Linked DNA regions of Mus musculus. The protein of the gene in region 2 interacts with the protein of the main gene of each other region in a pairwise test. Links are inferred from orthologs where the notes say so. Each region holds a gene or a part of one and is shown on either strand. Other genes may lie near its edges.

Evidence for each region.
Region 1: the proteins of Atn1 (region 2) and Wwp1 interact in a two-hybrid assay, tested with the Homo sapiens proteins (2 studies listed by BioGRID and IntAct). The link is inferred for Mus musculus from reciprocal best matches to the Homo sapiens genes ATN1 and WWP1.
Region 3: the proteins of Atn1 (region 2) and Leng8 interact in a two-hybrid assay, tested with the Homo sapiens proteins (2 studies listed by BioGRID and IntAct). The link is inferred for Mus musculus from reciprocal best matches to the Homo sapiens genes ATN1 and LENG8.

What each region holds. Positions count from the first base shown.
Region 1 is NC_000070.6:19,635,914-19,639,560, forward strand, and holds part of Wwp1 (NEDD4-like E3 ubiquitin-protein ligase WWP1), read right to left. Parts: intron 2,938-3,647; coding exon 2,862-2,937; intron 2,764-2,861; coding exon 2,692-2,763; intron 1-2,691. UniProt on the Homo sapiens protein: E3 ubiquitin-protein ligase which accepts ubiquitin from an E2 ubiquitin-conjugating enzyme in the form of a thioester and then directly transfers the ubiquitin to targeted substrates.
Region 2 is NC_000072.6:124,753,554-124,757,837, reverse strand, and holds the start of Atn1 (atrophin-1), read left to right. Parts: upstream 1-1,350; 5' UTR 1,351-1,542; intron 1,543-4,284. UniProt on the Homo sapiens protein: Transcriptional corepressor. Recruits NR2E1 to repress transcription. Promotes vascular smooth cell (VSMC) migration and orientation. Corepressor of MTG8 transcriptional repression.
Region 3 is NC_000073.6:4,140,355-4,144,001, reverse strand, and holds part of Leng8 (leukocyte receptor cluster member 8 homolog), read right to left. Parts: intron 2,980-3,647; coding exon 2,869-2,979; intron 1,971-2,868; coding exon 1,718-1,970; intron 1,506-1,717; coding exon 1,364-1,505; intron 1,169-1,363; coding exon 965-1,168; intron 584-964; coding exon 305-583; intron 215-304; coding exon 74-214; intron 1-73.

The DNA.
Region 1 (3,647 bases), on a different chromosome or scaffold from region 2:
CTCAATCTATATCTGAATCTCTTATCTCAGCCCCATATCTGAACAGACTTAAGACAGAAAAAGTAAAATAACGACTAACATAAATTTAGATACACACTTGCTAAAGTAATTCAAATATAGCTCTGAACAAGCCATGTGTAATACACTTGGAAACTTGAAACAATCATTTGGCTCAGAATTAGTCATACACAAGCAGTTTTGATAATAGCTGCATCGACTATCTTTTGTAAAGTTTAACAGCTAGTAAAATGAGGCTATGTTATAAAAGTCTCTAGACCTTCAGTATTACTATTCCATTTTAACCTGTAAAAAGGACAGACAAACAAAAAGAACAATAGCAACCAGCATTGCACAACAACTCTAAAGTAACAATCTGTAATTAGACCCAAGTCCACCTCAACAAGAGGTTCATCATGCCTGATACTGGAAACCTAGCCAACTTCCCAGAGCTGAGAAAGTCAGAGAGCTTGAAGGAGAGCTTATAACCACCACTTTACTAAACCAGCATCATCTCCAACTACATTCTGAACATTTGCCCTCATACCCACAGATGTGTAGTTTTCATCCCTCATCGAACACTTCCTCCCTCCACACTCTCCCATATACTCCACCTGGCTTCTTTTCAAATTTACGGCCTCTTTTTCATTAATTGTTGTTACTTGTGTGTGTGTGTGTGTGTGTGTGTGTGTGTGTGTGTGTGTATTCCTTTTACATGTTATTCTGTATGTTTCGTCTGTATAATGTTACTACTATGCATATGTTTTTGTGGCTGGACATTTGGTTTTAGATAGCCAATATGTCTTATCTTAAAATATAATTGTGGAATCCAGTCCCAACTGATCTATCTACAAAACATCTCCCATAGCTAAGACTCAGAGACCACTGCAGAAAAGTGGCTGAAAGATTTTAAGAGCCAGAGGATCAGGGAGTTTGGTATAAGATTGTTACTCCTAAGAATGATAGAAGCTACTCCATAAAGTCTCACCAACATGATTGCCTAACCATGAGTTAAAACAAGGAGAATACCAAGGGACATGCTAAGATGGACAGGAGAAGGTTCCCAAGGCCTCAACCCTATATAAAGAATTAAAGGCAACTAAGGGATGCTGAGGTCAGAAGAAGAAATCCTCCCTAAGGAAGAGCACACCAGCTGGCTAACACCAAATGGCAAGGCATAAAAACATAAATTCTAGTAACATTATACAGAAATAGAAATTATGCTTATGCGTTTATGTATTAGGGACATAAATAAATATTTATACACACACACACATGTAACACCAATTAGTGAAAAAAAGAGGCCATAAATTTGAAAGGGAGTCAGAGGGGTATATGGAAGAGTGTGAGGGGAAGAAATGTAAGGGGGAAATGATGGAACTTTATTTTAAGTTCAAGAATAAAAAAATAATTACAATTTAATGAAACATATTTAAGTATTAAGAAAGTTATAGTCATTGCATTGGAAGACAGTGAAAGGTCACGAAAAATTCTCCATTTCACCATAAAAAAATGATGTTATTGTTTTTAAAAATATTCTGCAAATGACTCCAGAAAGGCAGACATGTTACAGTCACATATTCAAGTATTTCCTGAATAACTGTTATACTAAAAGCACTCTTCTAGGTACTGGACAGAGGTGAAGTAAACCAATAATCCATGCTCTCATGCAGCACACATTCCAGGAAAGGAGACAGAGAGGAATGGTGTGATGAAACTGATGAAGGCTCATGAATGGCTAGAAAGAAGCCATGTCGGGGAGGAAGGCAGGCTGTCATTGTAGACAACATGCTCATCTTGATCACGGCTCAGTGAAGCCTAGATGTCAGATGAGCATAAGAGTTACTGATGGAATAGTCAATGGATACACAATCTACCAATTTGATTTGATTTGTTAAAACTTGACTTTCACAAGCTTTACTGTTTGAAGTAATAAAATCCTAACAAAGTAAGTGTCAAAACAGACTTGTTCCAAATGCTGTTTAAATTTTATTTTAAATACACCTAAAATTTTCATTTCTTCTCTTTCCTGTTCCTTTCTTTTCTTTACCCATCCTCCCCCTGCCTCTTTCTTTCCTTCTTAGTTTTTAATATAGACTTTCACGATGTAGCCTTACGTGGCTAAGAATTCACCTGTCTGTGCCTCTAGAATGCTGATTAAAGGCATGTGATATGACAGCCAGCTACACCTAAATTTTTGGTGGAAGGACTGTCTCTCAGTGTGGCACCCTTGTCTATAAAATGGAGACAATGGTAGGCAATGAAACTCTGCCCCTGTTTTGCAGTGTCCTCTGAGTCTTGGGTATAGAATTTTGTAGATATAGCAGTCACGACTGGACTCCACGAGGATATATCTTAAGATTATATTAGACATCTTAGCTATTGAACACCAAATGACCATCACCACAGAGATGCTGTGATGAGGAAAGAAAAGCATCAAAAAATTGTCAATAATTGGTCAATAGTTATGACTTAATACGTTGTGAAGTTTCCTTTTATTTTAGGTATATGAATGGTTTGCCTCCGTGTATGCCTCCGGCCCACATAACAGTTTCATATAATTATTAATATAGTCACTCAGGGAATGAGGGTTACTATAAATGCTTAAAGAATCAAAAACTTTTAACTCTCTTTAGAAATTCAGAATAAAATGAGACAAAAAGTACTGTTTCATTCTGATAATATCTTCCTTACCTGTTGGAAGGAATCTTCAAATAATGTCTGTCGGGACACATTGATCTTTACATGACTCGGTAGTGCATTAGACTAAAACCAAAAACATGATATTATGTAAGCCACAGCATATGTATTACATAATGATCAGGCTAATGATTATAAATGAGATTTATTTACCACTGTAGTACCTGGCACAAGTAACGGAAGTGAGCAAGCTTCCACCTAAAGCTGCGTTCATAAGCAATCTGTGGACCACCTTTAGTTCTAAAGAGAAACAAAATAAATACAACTATAATATTCAGTATGAATCAAAGTACACTAGATCATTATATGACTAAAGAAAGTTATTTGCTGTTAATAAGTACAGGTCTATCTGCTAGGACAGTGGTGGCCTGCGTCATGAAGGTTGCCACTGCAGCAGGACACGTGTACAGAGGGAGACCACAATTAGGGTAGGTTTATCAGTAAGCCTCCAGTTTACTGAAGTCCTGAGCTCTACTATAGATTCCTTAAAAGAACCTTTGATAGCACTTAAAGCTCAGTAAGTCAGAGATTCCAATAAGGGAAGCTTGGGTGGGGGTGGGGTCTGTCCCTCGACTTAAACCTGACCTGTACAAAGACAAAGAAAGTCAAAATTAAAATCCTTGGAGCGAGTTCTATACACATCATGTGACTTAACTGGACAACAAGATAAGAGGCAGATACAACATGCAGCTCAGAATGCTTCTCCTGCCTAGAAAGAGGCTTAACAGATGGGAATAAAGCATTCTCATGCCAGAGTGAACACAAAAATGTTGCCCTCTGTTGTCACATTCAGGGGAGTTCACTCATCCAAGAACATTTACCAAAGCGTAACAGGGACCTGATGTTTTTCCAGACAATGAAAGCATTATTTACTAATAACATGGAAGAAGTGACAGTTTTGTGTAACATATGCACCAATGAACAAGCAAACTACATATTGTTCATTTTAA
Region 2 (4,284 bases):
TATGTAGGTCCTTTCCACCTAATCCCCCACTTCATCCCTTCTGTGACCATGACCAAAGATGCTACTAGTAATGACTTCAGACTTGAGAAGGTCTAGTTCAGGAACCTCGAGAAAATGAAGGGCCCAAAAGTGAAGTGCCACCTCTTAGTTACCTCTTCCACACTAGGGCCTGGACCCCAGTCTGTCACTCCTCCAGGGTTCTCCCTCCGTCTCTAGCTCCTCTCTTTTCCCATCACTGGCCCTCCCACCACGTTGCCACAAAAGCCCTATTTATCTTGTGTTTCCTTCCAGACCTCTCTAATTCATTCTCCTCCACTTTATTTGCCAAAGGAAATAGTTCTTAGTTCGATTGGAAGTCCCCACATTCATGTTTACCAACCCAGCCCACCCCAGTCTCCCTCTAGAATAGGCATCCTCTGCCCTCCACCCCTCTTCTGAGACTTCTCATGCCTTCTCTCCCACAGAGGGATCTCCGGACTTGCCTCCAGCTTTCCTTCATCATTCCCAAATTCTTGTGGTTTGCATTCTTCTCAACACCAATCACTGCCTTAAACGCTTATCTCTTCCAGAAACACCATTCTCCTAGTACGTCTTCATCCTTTCCCGCCCAGGTCCACAAACTTCCATCGTAGGCTCTCCAAAATAGCTCCTAAACCCCTCCAGCCTCTACTTCTGGCCCTTCCTCTCCATCTTTCCAATACAGTCCCATTATCCAAATCTCTACTTCATAATTCCCCAAACTCCACCTACTTCACCCCTGCCACAGCCCCTCTTGTCCCCAAACTTCTCCAGCCTCCCCAGGTCTGCCTTCGCAGTCCACAGCCCCTCCCACCCAGCCCTCTCCCGCGCGGGGCCCGCGAGCTCCCCACGCTCTGCGCAGCGAGGCCCTCTCTCTCTGCGCCCCGGCCGGCTTCGGCCAACTCGCCCGGCGCCTCCCCTTCCCCGATCCTCCGCCCCCCGACTGCCGCGCGCTCCCTCCCTCGCGTCTCCTCCGGGCCCCTCTCTCTCCTCCGTTCCTCCGCGCTCCCTCCTTCTCCCTCTTCCTCCCTGCTCCCATCCCCCTCTCCCGAGCGCCCTCCCTCCGCCGTCCGCTTTCCTGTGCGAGTCGCCGGACGCGCCGCCCAGCCTGTCCGTCCGCCCGCAGCCCCGCGCCCGACCGGGGCCTCGGGCCAGGACGCGTTTCGGGGTGGCAGGCCTCGGGGCGGGCTAGGGGCGCGCGGCACCAGCGGCGGGAGGGTCGGGGGTCGCGGGCCTCGCCGGGACCGCGAGTGCGGGCGGAGGCGGGCGGTGCGGCGGGGGCGGGCGCGGGCGGCGCGTTCCGGGCGGGAGGGCGGGCGAGGAGCGCGAGAAGCCGATCGGGGCTGCGCGGGGAGCCGGGCATGGGGGCCGCCCTCCGGGGGGGCCGGGGCCGCCGCCGCCGCCGCCGCGGCAGCGACTGAAGCCGCGCTGTAAGGAGGGGCGGGGAGTGGCCGCCGCCGTCCCCGGGAGGCGCCGGAGCCCGACCGCACTCGCAGCCAGCCAGCCGTCCCGAGCTGCTCGCAGGTAAGGTCCGCTGCCGCCGGCCCGGGCCGCCCCGTTCCGGCCCGCGGCTCCCCGCCCCCACCCCTCCCGGTCCCCCCTCCCGCCGCCGCCTCCATTTGTTATTTTCCCGGTCGCGTTCCCTCATTGCGGGCACGACCGGGCCCGAGGCTGGGGACTCAGGGGGTGGGGCCGCCCGGAGGAGGGACGCGGGCCTGGGAGTCGCGAGCTCGGGAGGTGGGGGGAGGAGGGTTTTGGGAGGAGGGCTGACGGGGCCGAGCGTCGCCAGGACCAGAGCCTAAAGGGGAGGAACGCCGAGGTGGAGACTTGGCGGAGGTAAACCGGGGGATGCTGTGCGGGTGGTTCGCGGAGAAGGCAGGACGGATCGGAGAGATGGCAGCGAGGTGGGGCGTGAAGGCTCCAGTAACCCCACAGGCCCAGCACCGGGTTTCCAGGTTGCGGGTCTTGGGAACAGGGAAAGGGGTGTGGTAGGTGGTAAAATGAGGGTTGTAGCTGCCGAGACGGGGGATTGAACCTGGGGGGAATGGAGATGAACCGGGAGAGGCCCAGCTTTGAGAAGACCGACGTTTTTTGGGGTGGAAATGGGAAGGCCATATCTTTTGTGACTCAGTTTTCTTTCCCCCAATCCTGGTCACCTCTGACCCCGTTTTCCTAATCCCAGACCTAGTTACTTCGTGAAGGGGGGGCACTGAGTCTTGGTAGTGTGAGTCCTCCTAACACGAATAAGAAAGGCAGGGATACTGAAGGGAGAATTGGGAAGGTTGGGAGGATGGGAAAGAAGAGAAGATTGGGCAATCATATAGGCATTCCAAGGAATTGTGACCTCCACCCTCACCCCCAGAGCATTGGCTGTCCCATAGGAGGACTTCCTTACTGCCTTGATCTCAGAGATCTCTTTGTGCCTGGGGTAGGTTACCCTAAAGCTCCCTTTCCTGAAAGGTTGGAGTTGCTCTGGCAACTAAGGTGGTAATAGTGGCTGCCAGATGGACCCCTGGGATGGTCTCTTGGGGGGCACTTTTTTTTTTTATCCATTTTGTTGCCATGGTAGTGAGACAGTGGGAAGTCCAATAGGTGGGGATTCAGTATGTAGATTGGGCCTCTCTCAGCCTGTAGCTTTGTCCTTGGTGGGTCTCCGGGAGATGTTTCTGGTGTTGCCCCAAGTAGGGTTTCCTAAGGAGGCATCCCTTCTCCTCCAGAAGTCTATTGGAACAAGTAACCCTGTTGCTTGCAGGTCATTCCTGCAAGCCTCTACCTGGGTATGGTGCGAAGATGAAAATGTTGTTGTTCAAACTATATTGTCTTGGGCTGGGGGTAGCTCAGTAGCAGTGTTATTTCCTAGCATGCATACAATAGGCCCTGGGTTTGAGCTCCAGAACCAAAAACAAAATAAAAAAAAAACAACCAAGTTACATCACCGCGGGCAATTTCTGTCGGCCTCTACCACTCTTATTGTCTTATAAATGGTTGACTCTTTAAACTACTTTATCTCCTTGAATTCCTCTTTGGGTCTCTCTTCCTTCTTTGTCAGTTCTCAGGGTGACCCTTTCATTCAACTGATCTTTGGCCTTTTTTTCTGAACCTACAAATGTAGCGTAGCTCTCCATGCCTGTCTGGGTGAGGGTGGCCCAGGGGCGATGGCTATGAGAGAGGTTAGAGCAGAGCAGGATGCTCTGGAATGGGGGCTGGGAGACCGATGTCCCTCTGTGACCTTGGGCAAGTCACTTCTCTTGTCTTTGCGCTTCACCTTCTTGGTGTGATGAGATGGCCTCTAGTTCCTGCAACAGACCTGGGTTCTAACCAGGCTGCATTATCTGCTCCTCTGTGCTTTATGGATGTCTTGGTCATTTTCACCTGATTGTTAATGTGGCAGGTCTAGAATGGATTTGGGGTGGTTGGTGATCCTGGAATACATCTTGTAAGCTCTTCCCAGGAAGTCTGTGACATGGTCATTTTCTGACATTCCTGTCATATTTGCTCCTTACTTTTTAAAAATTTAATTATACGTATGTATTTATTTTGTGTGTGTGCTACAGTGCACATGTGCAGGTCAGAGCGTGACTTGAGTTGGTTCTCTTCTACCATGTGGGTTCCATGGTCCAACTCAGGTCATTGGTTTTAGTAGTAATCTCTGTTTGTTGTTTTTGAGATGGGCTTTTAGCCAAAACTGTCCTTGAACTCACTGCCTAAGGAAATGACCTTGAGTTTCCCTCTATTTGCAGTCCTGAGATTGCAGGCCTGGACCACACCCTGTTTTATAAGGTGCTGGGGATCTAACCCAGGCCTTCTCGGAATCTCACCTCTGACCCACACCCACTTCTCTTAGTTTTCTTCCCTCTGCCTACCCATGGACTCTTTTCTGATTTCTTATTTCCCTGCCTTCCAAGTTTTGGTCTTCCTTGCTTTCTTTTTGCCATAAGGTGATGAGGGCAAATGTGTGTTGTTGTACATGGTAGGTGCTTCTAAGTGTTAGACAGAGACAGCCTTCTAAGTGTCTAAGTGTTAGACAGGCAAGATGAAGCGCCACGTGGCCAGTTGGTTTTAGAGTCCCACTGTACCTGTGTTAGACTTAACCTACGATCTGACCCCAACCTCTTCCCAGTTCCATTCCTTCTTCTGCCGATCCCAGGAACTTCTTCCCCATTGAAGACTGTTTTTCTTTCAGATTTCAGCTGACTAAAAAAGGTAAGAAGGTGATTGCTCTGTTCTCCAACAAATTTTGTTGTAATTTTTGACCTTTTGGGTCTT
Region 3 (3,647 bases), on a different chromosome or scaffold from region 2:
CCATCTCCCCCACCTGTGAGACCCAATACCACCCACCCATGCCTAGGAAGAAATCACACCCTAAGCACCTCACCTCTTTCCACGCTGCGCCCTGCCCCGACCTCGATCCATGTGGGCCCCTCGACCACCCCGACCCTTGGGGGGTGGGTTCCTGCGGCCTACAGGGTGGCACTCATTCCCTGAGTAGGAGCTGTCAGAGTCTGAATGGGAGTCACTGCACAGGAAAGAGAAGTCAGGCCTGAAGCACAAGGGTCAGGCTCCACGCAGTTCCCCCCCAGCGCCCTTCCAGCCCAAGCCTGCACACCTTCTCCGAAAGTGTCTCGTGGGAGACCTGGATGAGGAGCGGGAGCGTGAATCCGTGCTGGAGGAAGAGCTGTTATCCTTCATGAAGACGTTGCGGTTGCCGAACTTGGTGAAGCTGCTACCCCGAGCTCGGCCAGCACCCCCAGCCCCAGGTGTCCCTCGCTGGGATTGGGCACCCCCGCCCCTGGTCACCGAGCCTGCCCCCCTGGAAGGGTGAAGGCTGCTAGGGGCCTCCCACCGCTTCTTCTTGGGGCTCTCAGCCACAGGCTCCCTGGTCAGCCTGAGGATATAGTAGGGCAGGGCATTACCAACCAGCCACCAACCTGCAGTTCTGCAGACCCCACCCCATGGCCCAGGGCCACCAAACCTGAGAAAGCAGAGGCACTTACCCCGGCAACTCAGCCACTGTGGTGCAGGAAAGGGACCAAGCCCAAGATTGTCTGTGTCCAGGGGATGCTCTTAGCCATCAAGCCACCCATACCTCCCTAGTAATCCCTTCCCACTTCCCAAAACCCATCCTTGGTCACTCCTGGCCTCCTGCCCACCCCATGGGGACCTGAGATACAGGTGTCAGCTTTTGGGACCACTTGTCTCTGAACCTGCTAGTTTTGAGATCCATGTCCCCAGCCCATATCTGTTTCACAGTGTCACCCAGACTGACCCAGGCAGAGGCTCTCGGCTCCAGTCGATGGTGTAGGCAGAGCCATCCTGGAGCCGGGCCTGTAGCACCTCCTTGAGCAGTTTCTCTGTCCGGTCCTTGTCCTCTTCTGACTCGCAGGCGGTGAAACACCGTTCCACATATTCCTTCATATCCTGAGGCCAATCATCTGGCTTCCCAGACAGGTTTCCCCGGCCAGAAGGTCCACTGTGGGGTGGGGGATAGACGAAGGCACTCAGGTGGGAGGACCCACACGTGTCAGCAGAACTCCCTCTGTGATCTGAGAAGGCAGCCTTGTTCTGTACATTTCCCCACTCCCTTCACCCCACGAAGCACTAAGAGTGGTGTCTAAAGAGGCCCTGGAGCACAGAGCACGGGCGTGCGGGTCAGGGTAACAGTCACCTGCGGTTCTGAGTGTTCTCCGAGTTGGGCTGGGGCCCAAAGCTGCTGTGTTGGCCCTCTGAATTGGAGCTGAAGCTCTGGCTGGTGACAGCAAAGGGCCGCTTCTGGATGTTAAATTTTAGACCCCCAGTCCCAGGGGCTGCTGTGGGAGGATAGCAGAGACAGGAGTTAGGCCCTTCCCCAGACAGTTAAATAGGCTAAGCTCTGGAACAAGTTCCTAACATGAGCATACCTGTTCTAGAACAATCTTCCCCTAGACTAGGGCACATAACACCCGGACAAAGGACTAGCAACCCTGTGTGGCTCACAGCCAAGCTCCAACCCTCTGACTTCCCCACAGATACACTAACTTACGTTTCATGCGGGTCCATAACTGCTGACCCTTCTTAGGTTTGGCAGGCTCGCTGTAGCTGTGTGGCCCATATGCCTGCCCTGTAGGAGCCCCGGCCTGACTGTGCTGAGTGCTTGGGGCTGTCCCAGGCTGAGGGCCGTTGCTTAGACTATGTGTCCCATGTTGTGAGTTTGAGGGCTGAGGGGGCTGAGCTGCAGGTAGCTGCTGAGGGGAAGCCTGGTAGGCCATACTCTCATCCATGCCAGGGACTGGAGGCTGCAAGAAGAAGCAGAGGATGAAAGAAGCAGGCAGCATCCTGGTGCTGAGTCACATGGTATTCAGTCTTTATAGTCATCTTCTTTAGCACTCAGTGCTACAACATTTTGTGGGTTGCCATAATGTGTGCTCAGTGACTCCCTGGGGTATGTATTTTCACTAGCAGCTCATTTCACAACTGAGAAGATTAAGCCTCAAGGGACTGAACAACTTTCCACAGCCCAGCTGTCAAGGAGCAGCTACCAGCAATGCCAACACTGGGTTGTGACTCTACCACACTGATGACACATCTACTAAGGTTCCCTCTCTTGAGCACATCAACACACAGGACAACACATCTGCCCAATCCCTATGAGAAGATTGCATCCTCTCGATTCTTAAGAGCCACCAAGGTATGGTAGTCATGTGACTCAAGAGGTCCACAGAAGAGGCAAAGCACGGATTCAAACCTAGGTCAATGTACTTCCCACGATCTGGGCTCTTCCACTCCTCTAGGCTGTGCCAGATGCAAAGGCAGCACGTTGGGTAGGTACAGGTGTGCATGCACCATCTGCTGTGTATGTGTATGTGGGGGGGGGGGAGGGGGAGGAAGCAGGGGAGGACTTCCTCCTGAATACAGGCTGAGTGCACATGCTGGAGGAAAAGGGAGAAGACAGACCGCCAAACTACAAACTATCCCCACTATCTTCCCAGTACTACAGCCCCCTGGCCTTGCCCAGCCTCAAGCCCATTCATCCTACTTTTAAAAGCTAAGCTTTTAAATTAGGAGCCTCTTGGCAAGAAAGAACAAAGAGGAAGGGAGGGGGCAGCTTTGAAATCATGCAGACTAATGGTTCTAAGTCCTCTCGAGACCCAGGCTCTCTCCCAGCTGACCAGGAGCAGCGAGGCACAGCATTACCTGGTTCAGAGTCCCTTGGTGCTGGGGAGCCGATGGCTGCTGGGCTGTAGCTGAGCCGTAGGAGCTGGCCATCCCATACTGGGAGGGGGAGCCATAGCTCTGGTACATGCTCTGCCAAGGCACAGGGGGAGCCAGAGTTAGTGGAGGCTGCTCATCATGCCTTTGGCCTCCCTTGGAACTGTGTACAACTCCAGAGGCTTTGGGCCCCAGGCCCTTTTTTCCACCACACAATGAAGTAATCATGTATTCTCATAAATGAATGAATGAATGAAAGAAAAAGTAGTAATCACAAACAAAAATCTCTTCATTCCACTTATATCATACCCAGAGTTCTTCTTAATAGGTAGTGAGAAACACTAAGTGCCAACACTTTTAAATGCTATGATAAAGTGATAGGGGCAACAGCTCATCCCTTTAATCACAGGACTTGGGCATGGGGCAGAGGCAGGTAGATTTCTGTGGAATTTTGAATAAGCCTGATCTATACAGTGAGTTCCAAGCCAACCAGAACTACATAGTGAAACATTGTCTTAAAAAATCAACAACACCTCCCAAACAACAACAACACAAACAAACAAACAAAAAAGACAAGCTAGTTGTGGTGGTGTACATTCAGGCAACTGAGGCAGAAGAGAAGCCTAAAGTCAACTTGGGCTATATAGAGAACCGTGACTCAAAAAGAAAAGCAAAAACCCAGATTTTAATAAAGTCTACACACAGCTATGGGGTAAGTAGGTAATGTACTCCAGTAAGTACCATGAACGAATACAAGGAAGAGA